Linked DNA regions of Anolis sagrei. The protein of the gene in region 3 purifies or fractionates together with the protein of the main gene of each other region. This does not show direct contact. Links are inferred from orthologs where the notes say so. Each region holds a gene or a part of one and is shown on either strand. Other genes may lie near its edges.

Region 1 (7,909 bases), on a different chromosome or scaffold from region 3:
TCCACCGTTGGTGGGGTTCAGAATGCTCTTTGATTGTAGGTGAACTATAAATCCCAGCAACTACAACTCCCAAATGACAAAATCAATTTTTTGAGTGAAGGACATACATTGGGTTGTTAGGTGTCTTGTGTCCAAATTTGGTGGCAATTCCTCCGGTGGTTTTTGAGTTCTGTGAATACCACAAACGAACATTACATTTTTATTTATATAGATTGTATTGATGTGTTCTGTTATATTGTTTTATATTGTTGCTGGGCTTGGCCTCATGTAAGCTGCCCCAAGTCCCTGTGGGAAGATGGTGGTGGGGTCATAGAAATATAATAATAATAACATAGAATAATATAAATAATAAATATATAATAATAATACATTTATTTATTTATATACCGCTTTTCTCAGCCCTTAGGTGACTCAAAGTGGTTAACAGCAGCAAAATTCAATGCTAAACATTACAAAACAATTAAATTAAAACAATAGCATAACAACAATTAAACATCAATATAACAAATCAATCGCGTCCCATCACTAGAATCAGAATCCAATCTCATTGTCCGTTATTCCACGTTCCTATATTCAATTACACTGCTTAATTGAATGCTTGTTCAAACAACCAGGTCTTCACTTTCCTCCGAAATGCCAATAAGGAGGGGTCCGATCTTATATCTGTAGGAAGGGCGTTCCACAGCCGAGGGGCCACCACTGAGAAGGCCCTCACTCTTATCCCACCAGGCGTGCCTGTGATGCAGGCGGGACTGAGAGCAGGACCTCCCCAGATGATCTTAATGTCCTAGTTGGTTCATAGGAGGAGATGCGTTCGGACAGGTAAAATAATAATAATAATAATAATAATAATAGAATAATAATAGAATCTATATAAATAAAAATGTAGTGCTAGTTTGCGGGACGAACATAACTCAAAAACCACTGGACGAATTGACACCAAATTTGGACACAAGACACCGATCAGGCCAACGAGTGACCATCACTCATAAAAATACTGGAGAACACAGCAGAAGAGACTTAAATAAAGCTTTATTATAAAGCCAAATCCGAGACCACTCCTGCTAGCTCAGATAAGGAGACTGTTGTGCAGCGGGGTGGTCGGTACACTAACAGAATCCCTATCCTGTCCCGGTCACCTATCCTAAAGCCGGCACACTCAAAGGAAGATGACTGTGGGATGGGGCACCTGATCAGGGGGATAAAATCCTTATAGACCACTGCGACTCCACCTCCCCTCCCTCCAGGCCTTGGTTGGTGCTGCACAGAGTCTTAAATAAAGCTTTATTATTATTATTATTATTATTATTATTAATATTTACTCTCTTGACCTTTCACCCGCATCTATAGCAGGCATCCTCAGAGGTTGTGAGGTCTGTTGGAAACTAGGACAAAGTGGGCGACTAAAATGATCAAGGGTCTGGAGAACACACCCTATGAGGAGCGGCTTAAGGGCATGTTTAGCCTGAAGAAGAGAAGGCTGAGAGGAGATATGATAGCCATGTATAAATATGTGAGAGGAAGCCACAGGGAGGAGGGAGCAAGCTTGTTTTCTGCTTCCCTGGAGAGTAGGACGCGAAACAATGGCTTCAAACTACAAGAGAGGAGATTCCATCTGAACATGAGGAAGAACTTCCTGACTGTGAGAGCCGTTCAGCAGTGGAAATACTCAAGGCGCAATTGCAAACTGTGCCAACAAAGAGAAAAAATAGGACAAGTGCAAAGAAGCCAGAATGGATGTCCAAAGAACTTCTAACTGCAACAGCAAAAACAGCAGAGAGGAAACAGGCAGGGACATCTAATTACCTTTCGAGAAGAGTTTGCTCCAGGCATAGTCAGCCCATTGTATGCTAATCAAGGTGGTCAGTTGAAATATTCACACCTAGCCCAACTGACAAAAGTCCTTTGTCTCACCCTGGTTATTCCACAGATATATAAACCCTTTCCCCCAGTTCCAACAGACCTCACCTCTGAGGATGCTTGCCATAGATGCAGGCGAAACGTCAGGAGAAATGCCTCTAGAACATGGCCATATAGCCCGAAGAAACCCACAAGAACTTAACTTCTAACTGTGCTAAAACACAAAAGAGACATGCACAAGAAGTGGAAAAAGGGAGAAATCACCAAAGAAGAATTCAAACAAATAGCCAACACCTGTAGGGAACTCTCTGCCTCGGAGTGTGGTGGAGGCTCCTTCTTTGGAGGCTTTTTAAACAGAGGCTGGATGGCCATCTGTCTGGGGTGATTTGAATGCAATATTCCTGCTTCTTGGCAGAATGGGGTTGGACTGGATGACCCAGGAGGTCTCTTCCAACTCTTTGATTCTATGATATATCTGTGAAACCCCCTTTTCCTAGTTCCCAACAGACCTCACAACCTCTGAGAATGCCTGCCATAGATATGGGTGAAACGTCAGGGGAGAGTGCTTCTGGAACAGGGCCAGACAGCCGAGAAAATTCACAACAACCATGAAAAACTTCAACAACACATTGGATAGAATGTTTCAATAGATCTGTTTGGGGGAAACAATATATCTCTCTAATGGATAGATGTTGCTCCTTTTTTATATTTTGTATCCCACAGAAGAACAAGGGGAACTCTCCGCCAAGTTCCTGGGAAAGTGGAGGAAGTTCCTTCCCCCCCCCCCCCCCCCCACTCTGGATCTCGCGTGGTTTGCATGCAAAGAGAGGTCCAGGAGAGGGACAAAGGGAGGTTGGAAAGGGCGGAAACAGTTCCCAGGGGGGTGGAAAGCAAGCCCCCTTCCAAGCCCCCCCCCTCTCAATCCCTACCTTTTGGGGTCCTTCCAAGGCAGAGAGAGAAGGCTTCGAAGGTCAAGGAGAAGGGAGGGTCCATTTCTGAGTCCAGGGGGGAGGAAGGAAGGGAGGGAAGGGAAGGGAGGAAGAGGCAACTGAAGAGGAGGAAGAGGAGGAGGAGAAAGAGGAAGAGGAGGGGAGGAGGAAGAGGAGGAGGAGGAGCCCGCCTAGACCCCCCCCCTCTGCTTCTTGATTTCCCTTCACGCCCCTTGAAAGGGCGCCAGGAAAGGAGGGAAAGGAAGGAAGAAGAGAAAGAGGAGGAGGAAGAAGAGGGGGGTCCTGCCTTGCCTCCCTCTACTGTTTCCCTTCTCTTTGTCCCTCTTGAGCTCAGCCAGGAAGGAAGTGAAGAAGAGGAGGAGGAGGAAGAAGAAGAAGTGGAGGAGGAGGAGGAAGTGGAGGAGGAGGAGGATCCTGCCTTGCTTCTCTCTGCTTCTTCCCTTCTCTTTGCTTCCCTTGAACTCAGCCAGGGAGAGAAGGAAGAGAAGGAGGAGGAAGAAGAGGGGGATCCTGCCTTGCCTCCCTCTACTGTTTCCCTTCTCTTTGTCCCTCTTGAGCTCAGCCAGGAAGGAAGTGAAGAAGAGGAGGAGGAGGAAGAAGAAGAAGTGGAGGAGGAGGAGGAAGTGGAGGAGGAGGAGGATCCTGCCTTGCTTCTCTCTGCTTCTTCCCTTCTCTTTGCTTCCCTTGAACTCAGCCAGGGAGAGAAGGAAGAGAAGGAGGAGGAAGAAGAGGGGGATCCTGCCTTGCCTCCCTCTACTGTTTCCCTTCTCTTTGTCCCTCTTGAGTTCAGCCAGGAAAGAAGTGAAGAAGAAGAGGAGGAGGAAGAAGTGGAGGAGGAGGTTGCTTCTCTCTGCTTCTTCTCTTCTCTTTGCTTCCCTTGAACTCAGCCAGGAAAGAAGTGAAGAGGAGGAGGAGGAGGAGGAGGAAGTGGAGGAGGAGAATCCTGCCTTGCTTCCCTCTTCTTCTTCTTTTCCCTTTGCTTCCCTTCGCCAGGAAAGAAGAGAAGGAGGAGGAGGATCCTGCCTTGCTTCCTTCTTCCCTTTCCTTTGCTTCCCTAGAGCTCAGCCAGAAAACAGGAAAAGAAGGGAGGAAAAGAAGGAGGAGAAAGAGGAGGAGGAACCCAATTTGCTTCCCTCTGCTTCTTCTTTTCCCTTTGCTTCTCTTCGCCAGGAAAGAAGAGAAGGAGGAAGAGGATCCTGCCTTGCTTCCCTCTGCTTCTTCCCTTCTCTTTGCTTCCCTTGAAGAGAAGGAGGAGGAAGAAGAGGGGGATCCTGCCTTGCCTCCCTCTACTGTTTCCCTTCTCTTTGTTCCTCTCGTGCTCAGCCAGGAAAGAAGTGAAGAAGAAGTGGAGGAGGAGGATCCTGTCTTGCTTCCCCCTGCTTCTTCCCTTCCCTTTCCTTCCCTTGAACTCAGCCAGGAAAGAAGTGAAGAAGAGGAGGAGGAGGAAGAAGTGGAGGAGGAGGATCCTGCCTTGCTTCCCTCTGCTTCTTCTTTTCTCTTTGCTTCCCTTGAGCTCAGCCAGGAAAAGAGGGAGAGAAGGGAGGAAGAGGAGGAGAAGAGGAGGAGGTTCCCGCCTTGCTCCTTCTTCCCTTTCTTTGCTTCTCTTGAACTCAGCCAGAAGAGAGGGAGAGAAGGGAGGAAGAGGAGGAGGAAGAGAAGGATCCTGTCTTGCCTGTCTCTACTGTTTCCCTTCTCTTTGTCCCTCTTGAGTTCAGCCAGGGAAGAAATGAAGAAGAGGAGGAGGAAGAAGAAGTGGGGGTGGAGGAGGAGGAGGAGGAGGAGGAAGTGGTGGAGGAGGATCCTGCTTTGCCTGTCTCTACTTTTTCCCTTCTCTTTGTCTCTCTTGAGTTCAGCCAGGAAAGAAGTGAAGAAGAAGAGGAGGAAGAAGTGGTGGTGGTGGAGGAGGAGGAAGAGGAAGTGGAGGAGGAGGATCCTGCCTTGCTTCCCTCTGCTTCTTCCCTTCTCTTTGCTTCCCTTGAACTCAACCAGGGAGAGAAGGAAGAGAAGGAGGAGGAGTATCCTGCCTTGCTTCTTTCTTCCCTTTCCTTTGCTTCCCTAGAGCTCAGCCAGAAAAGAGGGAAAGAAGGGAGGAAGAAGAGGAGGAGGAAGAAGAAGAAGTGGAGGAGGAGGATCCTGCCTTGCTTCCCTCTGCTTCTTCCCTTCTCTTTGCTTCCCTTGAACACAACCAGGGAGAGAAGGAGGAGGAAGAGGAGGAGGATCCTGCCTTGCTTCCTTCTTCCCTTTTCTTTGCTTCCCTAGAGATCAGCAAGAAAAGAGGGAAAGAAGGGAGGAAGAGAAGGAGGAGGAACCCAACTTGCTTCCCTCTGCTTCTTCTTTTCCCTTTGCTTCCCTTCACCAGGAAAGAAGAGAAGGAGAAGGAGGATCCTGCCTTGCTTCCCTCTGCTTCTTCCCTTCTCTTTGCTTCTCTTAAGCTCAGCCAGGAAAAGAGAGAAAGAAGGGAGGAAAAGGAGGAGGAACCCACCTTGCTTCCCTCTATGCAGATACCCTCACTGATTGACTTTGCAGCTGCAAGGTGATTCAGTGCTCTTCAAACTGAGTAATTACAACATTCACACTTGATTCAAACAGACAAGGGTTCTTTCTTCCACCCTGGACATCATTCCGCAGAGGGTTTCTCTGGGCAACAACATCCAGGCCACCTTTATGCAGATACCCTCACTGATTGACTTTGCAGCTGCAAGGCGATTCAATGCTATTCAAACTGACTAATTACAACATTCACACTTGATTCAAACAGACAAGGGTTCTTTCTCCCACCCTGGACATCATTCAACAGAGGGTTCCTCCGGGCCAGAACAGCCAGCCTACCTCTATGCATATACCCTCACTGGTTGACTTTGCAGCTGCAAGGCGATTGAGTGCTATTCAAACTGACTAATTACAAAATTCACACTTGATTCAAACAGATAAGGGTTTTTTCTCCCACCCTGGACATCATTCCACAGAGAGTTCCTCCAGGCAACAACATCCAGCCCACCTCTATGCAGATACCCTCACTGATTGACTTTTTCGCTGCAAGGCTACTCAATGCTTTTCCAACTGACTAATTACAAAATTCACACTTGATTCAAACAGACAAGGGTTCTTTCTCCCACCCTGGACATCATTCCACAGAGAGTTCCTCTGGGCAACAACAGCTAGCCTACATCTCTGCAGATACCCTCACTGATTGACTTTGCAGCTGCAAGGCGATTGGGTTTTAAAGTTGTGAGTTGCCTTGGATCTCAACCGTGGGGGGAAAAAGTGGGGGCATTGCTATTGTTATGGCATTGAGCCGTTGTCGTTGTTGTTTTGGGTTCACCGAGAGTCTGCTGAAATTGCCGTGGTTATAATCATAATAATTATGAAAAAATATGAAAAATGTGGTGAAAATGCTCTTGTCGCCCTCTCGTGGTGCTTTGTTGCTATTGCAGATGTAGGTGGAAGGCATTGAGGGTCACCCTCAGGTGGCAAGTGACTCCTAGTTAAGAACGGGGATGGAATGGGCAGGAAAGGGTTAAATGAGAGGTAGTGGGTGGGGTTGTGCAAATTGGGAGAGAGAAAGGAACCCTGGGATGTCAATTCTGGAGAGAGAAAGAACAGGACATCTAGGATGAAATGGTCCCTGAATGAAAGTGGTTGTAGGTCTTTCGGGCTATATGGCTATGGTCTAGAGGCATTCTCTCCTGACGTTTCGCCTGCATCTATGGCAAGCATCCTCAGAGGTAGTGAGGTCTGTTGGAAGTAGGAAAATGGGTTTATATATCTGTGGAATGACCGGGGTGGGACAAAGGACTCTTGTCTGCTGGAGCTAGGTGTGAATGTTTCAGCTGACCACCTTCATTAGCATTTGATGGCCTGACAGTGCCTGGGGAAAAAGGGAATGAAAGGGAAGGGAAGGAAAGGAGGAAGGAAGGAAGGAAGGAATTAAAGAAGGGAGGAAGAAAAGAGGGAGGGAAGGAAGGAATGAGAGAAAGAAAGAGGGAAGGAAAGGAGGAAGGAAGGAAGGAAAGGATTCAAAAAGGAAAGGAGGAAAGAAGGAAGGAAGGAGAGAAAGAAAGAAAGAAAAAGGAAAGGAAAGGAGGAATTAAAAAAGGAAGGGAGGGAGGAAAGAAGGAAGGAAGGAAGAAAAGAAAAGAGGGAGGAAAGGAAGGAATGAGAGAATGAAAGAAAGGGAGGGAAGGAAGGAAGGAGAGAAAGAAGGAAGGAAGGAAGAAAAGAGAGAGGGAAGGAAGGAATGAGAGGAAAGAAAGGGAAGGAAGGAAGGAAAGGAAAGGAAGGAATTAAAAAAGGGAGGGAGGAAAGAAGGAAGGAAGGAAGAGAGAGGGAAGGAAGGAATGAGAGGAAAGAAAGGGAAGGAGAGAAAGAAGGAAGGAAGGAAAGGAAGGAAGAAAAGAGAGAGGGAAGGAAGGAATGAGAGAAAGAAAGAAAAGAAAGAAAGAGGGAAGGAAGGAATTAAAAAGGGAGGGAGGAAAGAAGGAAGGAAGGAAGGAATGAAAGAAGAGAAAAGAAGGAAAGAAAAAGGAAGGAAGGAAAGAAAGAAAAAGGAAAGGAAAGGAGGAATTAAAAAAGGAAGGGAGGGAGGAAAGAAGGAAAGAAAGCCTGGCAGTGCCTGGAGCAATCTTCTGTTGAGAGGTGATTAGATGTCCTTGTTTTTTTCCTCTCTGTTGTTGTGCTGTTGCAATTTTAGATTTTTTTAATACTGGTAGCCAGATTTTGTTCCTTTTCATGGTCTCCTCCTTTCTGTTGAAATTGTCCACCTGCTTCTTGTGGATGTCAATGGCTTCTCTGTGTAGTCTGACATGGTGGTTGTGAGAGTGGTCCAGCATTTCTGTGTTCTCCAATAATATGCTGTGTCCTTTTGTAAGAGCTTGAAGACCTGGTGGTTTCAACAAGCCTTTGAAAATGACCAGCTCTTACACATTTATCATTTATTTATATTTATTTATTTATTTAGAGCTTTGATAACCCGGTCTTCTCAACCTCCGAAGAGGGACTCAGGCCGGCTAACAGCAGGAAATTCAAACACAAGTAGGATAAACATAATAGCATCGTAATGCATCATTACATAAAATACATTAAAATACAGATCATACAAT
Region 2 (7,792 bases), on a different chromosome or scaffold from region 3:
AGAAATCACACCACAACACTGAGAAGCTGGACACACAAAGTTTAGTAAAGTTTTTCAAGGCACCCCATGCCATTGCAACAGGACAAGTTGAAAAAGGGAAAGTCATGTGAGGCTAATGCTTTCAAAGGGTCACTTATTTTCAGAACTCCTTTTGCATGCTCAACCTTTCCATTTAACTGAGCAGATCTGAAATACAATTTTCAGGCAGTGAGGGATGGGCATAAGTCTCCAAAACCGCCCATTAACTGTTCCTGCATTATACGTTTTGTATTTTTTTCAAAAATGCAAAAGCAAGTTAGTCCAAAAACACAAACCTCAGAACAGAGCTGTGCCAAGATAATTGACCAAAGAGCCTTACTTACACCAACGCCTGAGTCAGAAACTTCCAAACTGGACATAAACTGTTCCTGTGCTTTTCAAATTGCAAAAACAAAAATCCCAAAACACACACACACCTCCGGGGGTGTTGTGCCAAGTTTACTGACCAGAGAACCTTGTTTACACAAAGAGACTCAAAAACTGCCCAACTGCACACGAACTATGTGTTGTCGAAGGCTTTCATAGCCAGGAATCACTGGTTGCTGTGAGTTTTCTGGGCTGTATGGCCATGTACCAGAAGAATTCTCTCCTGACGTTTCACCCACATCTATGGCAGGCATCCTCAGAGATTGTGAGGTCTGTTGGAATTAGAACGAGTGAGGTTTATATATCTGTGGAATGCCCAGGGTGGGAGAAAGAACTCTTGTCTGTTGGAGGTAGGTGTGAATGCTGCAATCGATCACCTTGATTAGCATTGAAAAGCCTTGCAGCTTCAAGGCTTGGCTGCTTCCTGTCTGGGGGATTCCTTTGTTGGGATGATGAGTATGGTCTACATACTTGCATTATGTTTTTATTAGGCGTTTTAAGTATTATATTTCATGTTTTAAATGTCCTTATATCTTATGATGAATTGTCTTATTGATTTTATGCTCAGTTATATGGTGTTGATTGTGATTTAGGGTAAGGCATTGAATTTTGTCACTATTTCTATGGAAACCACTTTGTGTCCCCCCAGGGGTAAAAAAAGTGGTATATAAATACTGTAAATAAATAAATAGCTGGCCCTGTTCCTGTATTTTTTAAAAATGCAAATCAAAATAACCCCAAAACCACACACCTCACAGAGAAGTTCTGCCAAGATTACTGAAGAACTCATCAAACTAGAGAATGAATTCAATTTAAATCCGGTTGCTGCCTCCTGCAGAATTCTGGGGATTATAGTTTAGGGGGGAACCTTCAACTAAACTGCAAACCCCAGAATTCTGCTGAAGGCAGAAACCAGATTTAAAGTGGATTCATGCTCTAGTCTTGGCTTATATCAACTTCAAACCCAGAAACTCCCAAACTGTACCTAAACTAATAATAATAATAATAACAACAACAACAACTTTATTTTTATATCCCACCTCCATCTCCCCAAGGGACTTGGGGCAGCTTATAAAGGGACAAGCCCAGGGAGTACAAAGTTAAAAACATAACACAATAAGATAGCATCAAAACAAAATCAAATAAAACATATCACAATAAAACATATCATAAAACAATACCATACAGAACAGAACGATAACAGTACTGAGTTCAGAGGGCTCTGGGTTTGTGTGCATTCTTCCTGTATTATAGGTTTTGCATTTTTTTTTAAATCAAAAGCAAAACAATAACAACCTCAAAACACTCACACTGCAGAGCGAAGTTGTACGAAGTTTACTGACCAGAGAGGAGCCTTACTAATGCTTACACCAACTCCAAACTCAAAAAGTCCAAGCCAACTCACTCAAGCATCCCAACTGTTGCATCTCAGGCTTACCTGCTTTCACATGAGTTTGGGACCCCTTCGAGGCAGCTGCGTCTCCTCAAGGTATAGTTCTCAAAGATCTCCTCCTTTCCTTCCTCTAGGCCTTGATTTCTTTTTTTTAAATCCGCAAGATTCACCGGTGATGGATGAAGGAGGCTTCCGCTTTAGCCAAGGAATCCAAACAAGGGGACAGGGCAAGTTGGAGCCGACAGAATTTGCCAAAATTAGGAAGGAAAGGGGAGAAAGAGGAAGGGGAGAAAAGGAGGATGGTGGGGAATGAAGAGGACTGAGTGATATTGGGGTGCTAAGGAGTCAGCAGCAAAAAAGGGGGGCTCTTCTTTCTTTCTTTTCCCCCTCCCGAAGAAGCAACACGCAAGGCTCTCCAAAGGAAAGTTTGTAGGAAGTTTGAGCTTCAGGAAGGGAGGGTGCTGGAGGAGGGAAGAAGTTCGGGAGCCTGGAGGGAGGAGAGAGCCAAGCAGAGAGGAGGGGATTGGTGCCTAGATGGAGAAAGGCAGGCGTCCAGAGCGTGTGGGTCCTCCCTCCCTCCCTCCCTCCCTCCCTCCCGCGTGGCTCTTCCTCGGCCCCGGTCCTGCGTGGAGCTGCTGCTTGGAGAAGCAAGAGCCCTCCCGCCTGCCTCCTTGCCGTCGCCGACCTCGGAGTCACAGCCCAGGAATGCCAAGAATGCGGAGCAGCCACTGCAGGGCAGGAGGCGGCGGGGACTTGCCTGGAGGGAGCACTTCTCTCTTGCTTGCTTGCTTGCTTTCTCTCTCCGTATTTTTACGCACAGGCGACTCAAAGAAGGGGCGCTCCAAAAGGAGCCCAAATCCAGGATGCCTTTCGGAGTTTGACTCTGTTCCAAGGCGGGCCAAGCCTCCCCCAAATGCCAAGGGGAAGAAGGGGAGGAGGAGGGAAGGAACTCGGGACCAACTAGGAATCCAAATGCCCGAGAGCTCCTTTCCCTCTTTCTTTCTTTCTGTACTTGCTGGAGCGCAACTCTAGTGGCGAGCCTGACGCACAGCTTGGAGAGAAGTTGGAAGAAGACGAGGAGGCGCGCCGGAGTGACTCCGTTTTACACGGAGAGGAGGGACTAGCGAGGCAGTTCTCAGTAGGGAAGGGAGGACCAAGCCGGGGAAAGGGTTGGGGGGCAAGGAATAGAGGCTTTGGGGAGGTTCCCCTTGACTGCGCGCAGAGGAGAGGGAGAGCCCGGAGGTATCAGGGAAGGAGGAGCTACTTCTGGGTTGGTTTGTGTTTTTGGGGATTTCAGTTGGAGAGGAAGATGGAGGAAGGCGCCCCATAGGAAGGGGGTTTCCCGCCCTCCGTGAAGGGCGGGGAAACCCATTTGGAGGAAGGGGCGGAGAGCCAGCCGGGGGAAATCTTTCCGACCAGCCTTTTGCGCAAAGGCCTGGAGTGGCTGGCTGGCTTGCTTGCACGATTTCTTTGCCCCAGCTCTCCTCTTTCACCAACTTTCTCTTCTCCTTTCTCCAACTTTAGCCCCTTTGGTTCTCAACCTTCTTAATGCCGCGACCCCTTAATACAGTTCCTCATGTTGTGAACCCCAACCATAAAATTATTTTCCTTGCTACTTCATAACTGTCATTTTGCTACTGTTTGGAATCGTAATGTAAATATCTGATATGCAGAATGCATTTTCATTCACTGGACCAAATTTTGCACAAATACCCAATACACCCAAATTTGAATTCTGGTAGGGTTTGGGCGGGGGGGGGGGGTTGATTTTGTCTTTTGGGAGTTGTAGTTGCTGGGATTTATAGTTCACCTACAATCAAAGAGCATTCTGAACTCCATCAAAGGTGGAATTGAACCAAATTTGGCACACACAACTCCCATGCCCAACAGAGGATACTGGACATTGACCTTGAGTTTGGGAGTTGTAGTTCACCTACATCCAGAGCACACTGTGGACTCAAATAATGATGGATCTGAACCAAACTTGGCACTAATATTCAATATGCCCAAATGTGAACACTGGTGGAGTTTGACTGAAATCAACTTGATATTTTGGAGTTGTAGTTGCTGGGATTTATAGTATATCTACAACCAAAGAGCATTCTGAATCCCACCAAGGAGAGTTTGGCCCAATTCTCTCCACCAAGGAGAGAATTGGGCCAAACTTCCCACACGAAACCCCTATGACCAACAGAAAATATTATGTTTTCTGATGGTCTTTGGCAACACCTCTGACGCCCCCTCACAACCCCCCCAGGGGTCCCAACCCCCAGGTTGAGAAACACTGGGTTAGAGAGATTTATCAAGTTTTGTTGCCCTGCCTTACTTACGTAGAAGTAAAACCGAGTTTTAAAAGTTGTTTCTCCCACCCTAGACATTCCACAGATATATAAACCTCACTTGCTTAGTTTCCAACAGTCCTCGCAATGTATGAAGATGCCTGCCATAGATGTGGGTGAAACGTAAGGAGAGAATGTTTCTGGAACATGGCTATACAGGCCAAAAAACTCAAAGCAACCCAGTGATTCCAGCCATGAAAGTCTTTGACAACACATTTCATTGTAGCAATTGAGCTTGAATACATTTAGGACCATCCAGATCAGAGTGGCATTTCTGAAACTCAGCTTTCATCATAAGTTTTCATGGACTTCCATTTATTTTATTAGATGTTGAGCAAGGATGTAGAGGTTCAAGTGCAAACATTACCTTCCATATAATAATTCTCCCTCCCTTATGAAATACTCCTCCAGTCTCATAAATTCTAGCAATGTAGTAATTTCAAAATTAAGCATATAGAAATAGTTTAGGCATCCAAAATAAGATATTATGGGCCTTCTGTATCCATGGATTCAACAATTTACAGCTTGAAAACTTTTCATTCCCAGAATTCCAGAAAGCAAACCTTTATTTTAGCATGTTATAGAAGGCTTTCATGGCTGGAATCACTGGGTTGCTGAGAGTTTTTTGGACTGTATGGCCATGTTTCGACACTCAGAATACAGGGGAATTCCAGACAGGAAACAATCAGCATCAGCTAACACTTCCCAACAAAGCATTCCCCCAGGCAGGAAGCAGCAAGGCTTTGAAGCTGCAAGCCTATTCAATGCTAATCAAGGTGGCCAATTGCAACATTCACAATTACTGGGTTGTTGTAGGTTTTTTTCGGGCTATATGGCCATGTTCTAGAGGCATTCTCTTTTGACATTTCACATGCATCTATGGCAAGCATCCTCAGAGGTAGTGAGGATCACCTCACTACCTCTGAAGATGCTTGCCATAGATGCAGGTGAAACATCAGGAGAGAATGCCTCCAGAACATGGCCATATAGCCCAAAAAAACCTACAACAACCCAGTGATTCTGGCCATGAAAGCCTTCAACAATACATATTCACAATTGCCTTAAACAGACAAGAGTTCTTTCTCCTACCATGGACATTCCATGGATATATAAACCCCATTTGCCTAGTTTCCACAGACCTCACAATCTCTGAGGATGCCTGTCGTAGATGTGAGTGAAACATCAGGAGAGAATACATCTGGAACATGGTCATACAACCCACTTTATTTGAGCATTTTATATAAGGGGTACAATTTTACTATGCCATTACATATAATGGGACTAGGAGCATCCTTGGATTTTAAACCCGAACATATACAAGGACCATATAGGCAAAGTTGTCAAGGGAATGCAGACAGCAAATTCTAGAGTCCTAGTTGTGAGTGCATTTTAGTGTCATTTTCTGCAATGCTAGAAATGCACACAATGAAGGAAAATCATAAAGGGCAGAACTCCTATTTTGCCTTCATCTCCTGGTAACTATACACCTGTATATGGGCCCAGCAGATGCAGATGATTAGCAATCTGGAATTCATGAAAGTTTATGATGGAATATCACTCTCCAAAGTGTTGCTAGATCATTTCCTCATATTAGTCTTATGTTACAACACACTAACAAGAGTCTTCCCTTGAAAACTCTCCTCTAGTGTCCCTGGTCTATGAAGTATAGTCCTTACCTCCTTTGCAGTGAGTCCTCCAGACTCCCCAAACCACCCTTTTTCTCTCTGCTCCATTATGTGTCCCAGGAGAAGCAACAACATTTTAAAATGTTACAGGCACACACATCCCATTTTGTTTAATGTCAGTAAATAATAAATGGATACACATTTTCTTTTTTAGTAGTTTTGCAGGGGTCTAGAGACAAAAACACAAATTCCAGCCATATAGTTGACCATCCTTGTCAAAGACCCTTACATTTTTAATAGTTGGTTGTTTAAATAAGGCATGCTCTCCCCTATATCACTATCAATTTCTCCCAAATCCCTCCAATATTTTCTGTTGGTCATGGGGATTCTGTGTGGGAAGTTTGACCCAATTGTATTGTTGGTGGAGTTCAGAATGCTCTTTGATTGTAGGTGAACTATAAATCTCAGCAACTACAGCTTCCAAATGTCAAGGTCTATTTTCCCCAAACTTCATATTTGAGCATATTGAGTATTTGTGCCAAGCTTAGTCCAGATCCATCATTGTTTGTGTCCACAGTGCTCTTTGGATGTAGCTGAACTACAACTCTGAAACCCAAGATCAAGCCCACCAAACCCTTCCAGTATTTTCTGTTGGTCATGGGAGTTCTGTATGCCAAGTTTGGTTCATTTCCATCATTGGTGGAGTTCAGAATGCTCTTTGATTGTAGGTGAACTATAAATCCCAGCAATTACAACTCCCTAATGACAAAATCAATCCCCCCAACCCCACCAGTATTCAAATGTGGGCGTATGGGGTATTTGTGCCAAATTTGGTCCAGTGAATGAAAGTACATCCTGCATAACACATATTTACATTACGATTCATATGAATAGTAAAGTTGCAATTATGAAGTAGCAACCAAAATAATTTTATGGTTGGGGTTCACCACAACATGAAGAACTATATTAAGGGGTACGGCATTAGGAAGGTTGAGAAACACTGTTCTAATGCAAGGAGCCAACTCATTTCCAACACTCTGAACAACAGTATTTTGTTGCTAGGAAAATGTTTTTCCCCCTCTACTGTGCCAGCACTGCACAGGAAATCTTCCTGAAAAGAGAGAAAGATGGAAAAATTGATTTCACAAAATCAGTAGAGCCCTGCAACAAAGTCATTCCCTGGCCCTAGTCTGTATCCTAGTCTGTGGAAATTGGATAATGCAGGATGACGGTAGTGTGGAACAATCACTGCATGTTTGCCAACATTTTCATAGATTAAAACAGGGATAGGCTCTCAGCACACATCTCTGATAGTGAGTTGCCCACACATACTCATTGTTGAAGGTTCTGTTTTGCCAGTTGTGCGCTATATTTATTTGTTTTACAGGAACCTGTACTCTGCTCACTTAAAAGCCAAACACAATGGTATTTGTTGTGAAAGATAAACTTGGAAAATGCTATTGTAACATAGGATGCCACGTGTTCAAAATATATTTGACACTTTAGCATCCCCACACTTGCATTTACATGTGTATGCACAGCAGGACTAAATTTACGACTCAAGAGATATGCAGTGCAGTGCTGTAAGATCTACTTAGAAGTCAGTCTATTGAGGTTAATGGAATTTTCAGGGTAAATGGTAGTTAGAACTGTAGCCATAACTTACAAAAATTCTTTGGAAATGTGAATTATAAGAATCACTGAGTTGTTGTAGGTTTTTCAGGCTGTGTGGCCATGTTCTAGAAGCATTCCATCCTGACGTTTCACCTGCATCTGTGGCAGGCATCCTCAGAAGTTGTGAGGTCCTCACAACATCTGAGGATGCCTGTCACAGATGCAGGCGAAACATCAGGAGAGAATGCCTCTAAAATATGGCCATACAGACAAAAAACCCTACAGCAACCCAGTGATTCAGGCCATGAAAGCCTTCGACGATAAGAATAAAGTTGAAGATTACAACTTTAAGGTAGGCATAATTACGCAGAAGCAAATCCTATTAAAGCATTACAGTACTGAATGTAAGATGATAG
Region 3 (7,944 bases):
CTTAGTTTGAGGACCCCTGCTCTTGACACTGAAAATGACTGCAGAAGTGAGTTGAGTCCTTAAGTGAACAGGGTTGCCATCCAGCTCATCTGCTTTACACAGCACCCTCTCAGTTAACTGGCAGCTATGGGGATTGGAAGAGGCCAGATAAATGTGGTTTCCAGTTGCTTGAGGGTGACTATGAAAAGCAAGCTTAAGTAATACAATATCACATATTAGACCAGACTAAAAATTCTTTATTTACTTGATATTAAAATTGAAAGCCAGTAACAAACAGCTAATGAAGAAAATGAAGAAAAACTTATCTGAAGGTAACATTATTTTTCTGTATAGCAGTCGTGGACAAACTTCAGCCTCCAGGTGTTTTGGACCTCAACTCCCACAACTGTGCAAGTTGGAAATCCAAAATACCTGGAGGACCAAGGTTTGCCCATGCCTGCTGTATAGGGTGCCCCAAAAGTCTCTAAACATGGAATATATATAAATGTTGAAAGGTGTGATTGGCCCCTTCCTTGTTGGCCTTTAATTTATAAATTAAAACCTTTTTGTGGAACCAAGCCTGTTCTGATGACTTAAAATAGACAACAACCAGATAGCTAGTGGTAATATAAATCTCTGAATGTTATTCAAACTTGGCAATGCTACTATATGGCCTGATGCAAACGGAGTTCCTAAGATTTTAGTACAACTCTTTTTATGGATAACCCCAGTGGCCTGAGGTTCAGTGAATTTTAATGGCATTTGTTGTAAGTTATTAATTAGTTATAAATGGTTTAAAGGTAAAGGTTTTCCCTGACATTACGTCTAGTCGTGTCCGACTCTGGGAGGTGGTGCTCATCTCCATTTCTAAGCCGAAGAGCCAGTGTTGTCCATAGACACCTCCAAGGTCATGTGGCTGGCATGACTGCATGGAGTACTGTTTCCTTCCCACAGAAGCGGTACCTATTGATCTACTCACATTTGTATGTTTTCAAACTGCTATGTTGACAGAAGCTGGGCCTAATAGTGGGAGCTTACCCTGCTCCCTGGATCTGAACAGCTGACCTTTCAGTCAGTTTGTTCAGCAGCTCAGAGATTTAACCGGCTGCACCACCAAGGGGCCCATTTGCATGGTTTATGTAGTGGCAATTTGTTTCTTTGGCTTGAGATTTTTAAAAAAATTGAATGTATTGTCGAAGGCTTTCATGGCTGGAATCACTAGGTTGCTGTGAGTTTTCTGGGCTGTATGGCCATGTTTCAGAAGCATTCTCTCCTGATGTTTTGCCTGGATCTATGGCAGGCATCCTCAGTTTGAATTTGTATGTTATGTAATGACTGCTGCTTATAACAACTGTATGCCACTTTGAATTCTATCCATGGGAGAAAAGTGGGATAACAATTAATAAAGTTGGAATGCATACTTTGTAAATAAAGGTTAATTCAACAATTGCCCATTCCCCCAATCAGTGTTTCTCAACCTGGGGGTCGGGACCCCGGGGGGGGGTCATGAGGGGGGGGTATCAGAGGGGTCACAAAGACCATCAGAAAACACAGGATTTTCTGTTGTTTGTGGGGGTTCTGTATGGGAAGTCTGGCCCAATTCTCTTGTTGGTGGGGTTCAGAGTGCTCTTTGATTGTAGGTGAACTAAAAATCCCAGCAACTACAACTCCCAATTGTCAAGGTCTACTTTTCCCAAACTCCACCAGTGTTCACATTTGGGCATATTGAGTATTTGTGCCAATTTTAGTCCAGATCTATCATTGTTTGAGTCCACAGTGCTCTCTGGATGCAGGTGAACTACAACTCCCAAGTGTCATTGTCTACTTTCCCCAAACTCTACCAGTGTTCACATTTATTTATTTATTTACTATATTTGTATACCGCTCTTCTCAGCCCTCAGGACAACTCAGAGCGGTTAACAAAGCAAATACAATACAAAAAACATGATAAAAACAGTTAAAAACAAGTTAAAAGAATAACATTATAACAATCAATAAACATCATTTGGGCATATTGAGTATTCATGCCAAGTTTGGTCCAGATCTATCACTGTTTGAGTTCACAGTGTTCTCTGGATGCAGGTGAACTACAACTCCAATACCCTTCCAGTACTTTCTGTTGGTTGTGGGAGTTCTGTGTGCCAAGTTTCGTTCAATTCCGTAGGTTAACTATAAATTCTAGCAACCCCCAAATGACAAAACCAACCCCCACCAACCCCACTAGTATTCAAATTTGAGTGTGTCGAATATTTGTGCCAAATTTGAAATGAAAATGAGATGAAAATCCATCCTGCATATCAGACACTCAACATTACGATTCCGAAACAGTCGCAAAATTAAGAGTTATGAAGTAGCAACGAAAATAATTTTATGGTTGGGGGGGAGGGGTCACGACAACATGAGGAACTGTATTAGGAAGGTTGAGAACCGCTGCCCTCAATGAAGTAGGGCGCTTTCAAGGACATTATGATTAAAACTAGCTGAGCGGAGGCGGTAGGAATTCTTTTGGCCGGTTGCTTGAGAGTCGCGCTTAAACGAGAGTCCGGCTCTCTGAGAACGAGAGAGAGAGAGCACGCGCGGGCGCGCGAGGGAGAGGCGGCTTTTGTGCCGAGGTTCTTCCCAGGCACCTGCAAGGCTCCCCGCCCCCTCCCGCGCGCCCCTTTCTTCCTCCTCCTCCTCCTCCTCCTCACCTGTCCCTGGGGTCGACCCAGCTGGTGCTCTTGGTGGCGTGGTCGATGTAGTAGACTTTGCCGTCGTAGTCGCGCGCTTCCTCCCAGCCCTCGGGCAAGGGCAGCCCCGGCCGCGGCATCCTAGGCGGAGGCGGCGGGGCGCAGCTCCCTCCCAGCCCCGAGGCGGCCGTGGCCCCATGCAAAGCCCCCTCAGCAGGCCCAGGAGGAGCAGGAGCAGGGGGAGGAGCAGCAACCACCCTTCTCCCAGCCCGGCAGCAGAAGCGGGGGGCGAGGGGCCGCGTCGGGAAGGCGGGAGTGGGCGCCTCGCATCCTCGGCAAGCAGGAGGAGGAGGGGGAGGGGCCAGGCTCCGGCGGGAACCCCGCAGGTGTCTCTCTCTCTCCACGAGCCCCTTCCTGCCAGTCCTCAGGCTGCGCTTCCCGCCGGCCTGCTCGCCCCTTCCTCCTCAGTCTGCCAAATGCCGCTGCTCCTCCAACTCCTCGGCTCCTTCCTCCTCCTCCTCCTCCTCCCCGCCTCCTCTGCCGGCGCTACTGTAATACAGGTAGTAGCAGAGCCGCCTCGGCGCAACTTTGTTTCCCAAAAAAGAAAAAAAAAGAAAGAAAGAAAACCTTCCAAAGTATGTGAGGGAGGCTGCTATTCCCGTCAAGACGGCCGCGGCGGTGCTGAGAGAGAAAGAGAGAGGGAGGGAGGGAGGCAAGCAAGCAAGCAAGCGCCGCCTCGCGCCAAAGCCCCAGAAGGAAGGAATGAGCAGCCTCGCGCCCGGGCCTCGCGGGCAGAGCAACCTGGAGGGAGGGAGAGGGGAGGGGAGGGGAGGAGGGAGAGGAAGAAGGAAAGGAGGCGGGCTTGGCCACCTCTGCTTGAGGAAGGTCCAGCCCCAGAAAGGAAAGGGAAGGTCCCCCCAGCAGGTGCAGCTCCCCCCTGGTCCGACCTGGTGTGGAGTTGGAGCAGGCATGGGGCCCACCCTCCAGGTGTTTGGGACTCCAACTCCCACCATTCCTAACAGCCTCAGGCCCCTTGGAAAAGAAAAGGGCCTTAGGCTGTTAGGAATGGTGGGAGTTGGAGTCCCAAACACCTGGAGGGTGGGCCCAACTTCGCCCATGCCTGAGTTGGAGGGCTGTTTCCTTGTGAACAACCTTACTGTTGCTTCTGCGTTCTGTGAAGTGATGGCATGTTAGTTATGTTGCATTGGGAGTTGCAGTTCGACAAGGTCTTGACCCATTTCTCCCCAAAAGAGCTAGAGCCTCCATGGTGTAGATCAGGGGGTCCTCAAACTTTTTAAACAGAGGGCCAGGTCACAGTCCCTCAAACTGTTGGGAGGGCCGGATTATAATTTGAAAAAAAAAACTTGCATGAATTCCTATGCACACTGCACATATCTTATTTGCAGTGCAAAAAATATCTTAAAACAATACAATAATTAAAATGAAAAACAATTTAAACAAATACAAACTTATTAGTATTTCAATAGAAAGCGTGGGTCTGCTTTTGGCTGATGAGATAGGATTGTTGTTGTTGTTGTGTGCTTTCAAGTCGTTGCAGACTTAGGTTGACCCTGAGCAAGGGCCGGATAAGTGACCTTGGAGGGCCTTATCCGAACCCCGGGCCTTAGTTTGAGGACCCCTGGTGTAGGTTGATCCTCTGGGTGTTTTGGATTTCAACTCACAATTCTGTTAGCAATTGTGGAAGGGTTTTTTTAATCATTACTTTACACCAACAATAGGTAAAGGTTTTTACCTGACATTAATTCCAGTCGTGTCCAACTCTGGGGGTTGGTGGTCATCACCATTTCTAAGTCAAAGAGCCAGTGTTCTCCGTAGACACCTCCAAGGTCATGTGGCCGGCATGACTGAATGGAGCGCCGTTACCTTCCCACTGAAGTGGTACCTATTGATCTCACATTTGCATGTTTTTGAACTGCTAGGTTGGCAGAAGCTGGGGCTAACAGCGGGAGCTCATGCTGCTCCCCAGATTCTAGCCTGCAACCTTTCAGTCATCAAATTTAGCAGCTCAGCGATTTAACCCACTGCACCACTGGGGCCTCCAATAACACCTACAATACACTCATACAAAAGAGCCCCCAGTGGCACACTGGGTTAAACACTTGTGCCAGAAGGACTGAAAACTGACAGATCGGAGGTTCAAATCCAGGGAGAGTGCAGATGAGCTCCTTCTGTCAGCTACAGCTCCCCATGCAGGGACATGAGAGAAGCCTCCCACAAGGATGGTAAAACATCAAAATATCCGGGTGTCCCCTTGGCAACGTCCTTGCAGACATCCAATTATTTTACACCAAAAGTGACTTGCAGTTTCTCAAGTCACTCCTGATTTTAAAAAAACCCTATACAAACATATACATATATAGACAACCCACCACCCACATTAGTTACCTATCATTCCTCCTCCAGTTCGCTCACCACCCCGACTTCCATTACTAATCACGCTTGTCAAATATGCTATGGCCAGCTTCCAATTTCTTCTTAAAACTTCATGACTTTGGTGTTTCAAATTGCTAGATATCTTCACCATTCACCTTTCCAGTCTTTGGCAATCGTTATGCATGCAGCCTCAAAGCTGAACTCGCAAAATTCTCTTTCCTGCTGCTCTAGACTGAATAACCCTAAAAGGCACATCCCTGGATTTTTAAAAACTTTGTTGTGAATCATTTTTTTGTTTTTGTTTCCGTAATCATTTTTTTCCAATAAACCTGCACCAATTTGTAATTTGCACATGTGGAATTCGCACATGTGGAAGAAGGTCCCTTTCTGTATTTTTCGCCTCCAACAGAATCCTGTGGGAGTTGAAGTCCAAAACACCTGGAGAGCAAAAGTGTAGGTGCACCCTTGGCATCAGGTTATTATTATTTCATATCAAAAACATTGCATAAATTAGTATAAAACTGATAAAAAAAAATAGAAGGTGTGCAGGTGGCTAAATATCTTTTGACCAAAAACGGGCAATAGCAACGACATTGTCTGTAGCCTCCAACAATTCCTCCTTGTCTGTTCTGCTCCACAGTCACACAAGGTATGGGATTCTTTTGGCAGCAGGTGAAGAAATACATTAATTATTGACCTGGGGAGGAGGGGAAAACAAGCCCAAGGAATAACACTTTTAGCTGCCATGGCTCAATGCTATGGAAATCTTGGAAGTTGTAGTTTTACAAGGTCTTTGGCCTTCTCTGCCAAAGAGTGCTGGTGCCTCATCAAATTGCCAATCTCAGGATTCCACAGCATGGAGCCGTGACTCTTAAAGTAGTGTCAAACTGCATGGATTCCAGGTGCATCTTTAGGTTTATCTGGCCAAAAGTGCTGAAGCCTTACCAAACTGCAGCTCCCAGAATTCCATTGTTTTGAGTTAAAGCGGTGTCAAGCTGCATTCATTTTGTGGTGTAGATGCACCCAAACATGTCACCTCCGCAACATCCCAGCCACCTTGGCCATCAGTTTGGAATTCAGAGTTTGGGAAATACTTCGATCTTCACCTCTACTTTTCTGTGCTCTTTTCCTATCTCCCTTCACAGATCTTGGAGTTGAACAGGATATTTTGGGACTACTACATCCCCAGTGGTGCAGCAAGTTAAACCACTGAGCTGCTGAACTTGCTGACTGAAAGGTCAGTGGTTCGAATCCAGGGAGCGGGATGAGCTCTTGCTGTTAGCCCCAGCTTTGAACCTAGTAATTAGAAAACATGCAAATGTGAGTAGATCAATAAGTACCACTCTGGTAGGAAGTTAACAGCTCTTTGTGCAGTCATGCTGGCCACATGACCTTGGAGGCATCTACAAACAACACTGGCTCTTCGGTTTAGAAATGGAGATGAGCACCAACCCCCAGAGTTGGACACGATTAGACTTAATGTCAAGGGGAAATCTTTACCTTTACCACACCTACAATGTCTTACACTCTCCCCAACCCGCACAGTGGTGTCATTAAGTCATGTTTTCTGCCACCTGCATGGACCACTTCTCATATTAGACCATACTAGAGTGTTGCATACAAAATACGTGCAACACTGTCTAAAAAAAATGTCAAAACCAGTGACTATAAAAAGCCAGCCACAACACAACGCAAACCTTGTGCATGCTTTCAGCCTATGCCGATGAAACCGTGCAATACGAAGCATCATAATACCAGTAATTGGGTAATAACGACAGCTCTGACCAAAGCACAAGTCCATTGTTGTTGTTCATTCGTTCAGTCGTCTCCGACTCTTCGTGACCTCATGGACCAGCCCACGCCAGAGCTCCCTGTCGGCCGTTACCACCCTCAGCTCTCTCAAGGTCAGTCCAGTCACTTCAAGGATGCCATCCATCCATCTTGCCCTTGGTCGGCCCCTCTTCCTTTTGCCTTCCACTTTCCCCAGCATAATTGTCTTCTCTAGGCTTTCCTGTCTCCTCATGATGTGGCCAAAGTACTTCAACTTTGTCTCTAGTATCTTTCCCTCCAGTGAGCAGTCGGGCTTTATTTCCTGGAGGATGGACTGGTTGGATCTTCTCGCAGTCCAAGGCACTCTCAGAACTTTCCTCCAGCACCACAGTTCAAAAGCATCGATCTTCCTTCGCTCAGCCTTCCCTAAGGTCCAGCTCTCACATCCGTAGGTGACTACAGGGAATACCATGGCTTTGACTAGGCGGATCTTTGTTGCCAGTCTGATGTCTCTACTCTTTACTATTTTATCGAGATTGGACATTGCTCTCCTCCCAAGAAGTAAGCGTCTTCTGATTTCCTGGCCACAGTCTGCATCTGCAGTAATCTTTGCACCTAGAAATACAAAGTCTGTCACGGCCTCCACGGTTTCTCCCTCTATTTCCCAGTTGTCAATCATTCTTGTTGCCATAATCTTGGTTTTTTTGACGTTTAGCTGCAACCCGGCTTTTGCGCTTTCTTCTTTCACCTTGATTAGAAGGTTCCTCAGCTCCTCCTCACTTTCGGCCATCAGAGTGGTGTCATCTGCATATCTGAGGTTGTTAATGTTTCTTCCAGCAATTTTCACCCCAGCTTTGCATTCATCCAGCCCCGCACATCGCATGATGTGTTCTGCATACAAGTTAAAAAGGTTGGGTGAGAGGATGCAGCCTTGCCGTACGCCTTTCCCAATCTTGAACCAGTCTGTTGTTCCGTGGTCAGTTCTGACTGTTGCTACTTGGTCCTTGTACAGATTCCTCAGGAGAGAGACAAGGTGGCTTGGGATGCCCATCCCACTAAGAACTTGCCACAATTTATTATGATCCACACAGTCAAAGGCTTTAGAATAGTCAATGAAGCAGAAGTAGATGTT

The links.
Region 1: the proteins of WWC1 (region 3) and AMOT purify together in Homo sapiens (affinity purification with mass spectrometry; 3 studies listed by BioGRID and IntAct, with this or other methods). This does not show direct contact. The link is inferred for Anolis sagrei from reciprocal best matches to the Homo sapiens genes WWC1 and AMOT.
Region 2: the proteins of WWC1 (region 3) and PTPN14 purify together in Homo sapiens (affinity purification with mass spectrometry; 7 studies listed by BioGRID and IntAct, counting the BioPlex papers as one, with this or other methods). This does not show direct contact. The link is inferred for Anolis sagrei from reciprocal best matches to the Homo sapiens genes WWC1 and PTPN14.

Annotation. Positions count from the first base shown.
Region 1 is NC_090030.1:33,526,179-33,534,087, forward strand, and holds the start of AMOT (angiomotin), read right to left. Parts: upstream 3,025-7,909; 5' UTR 2,790-3,024; intron 1-2,789.
Region 2 is NC_090021.1:33,747,810-33,755,601, forward strand, and holds the start of PTPN14 (tyrosine-protein phosphatase non-receptor type 14), read right to left. Parts: upstream 3,094-7,792; 5' UTR 1,844-3,093; intron 1-1,843. UniProt on the Homo sapiens protein: Protein tyrosine phosphatase which may play a role in the regulation of lymphangiogenesis, cell-cell adhesion, cell-matrix adhesion, cell migration, cell growth and also regulates TGF-beta gene expression, thereby modulating epithelial-mesenchymal transition.
Region 3 is NC_090022.1:105,773,565-105,781,508, forward strand, and holds the start of WWC1 (protein KIBRA), read right to left. Parts: upstream 3,034-7,944; 5' UTR 2,789-3,033; coding exon 2,670-2,788; intron 1-2,669. UniProt on the Homo sapiens protein: Regulator of the Hippo signaling pathway, also known as the Salvador-Warts-Hippo (SWH) pathway.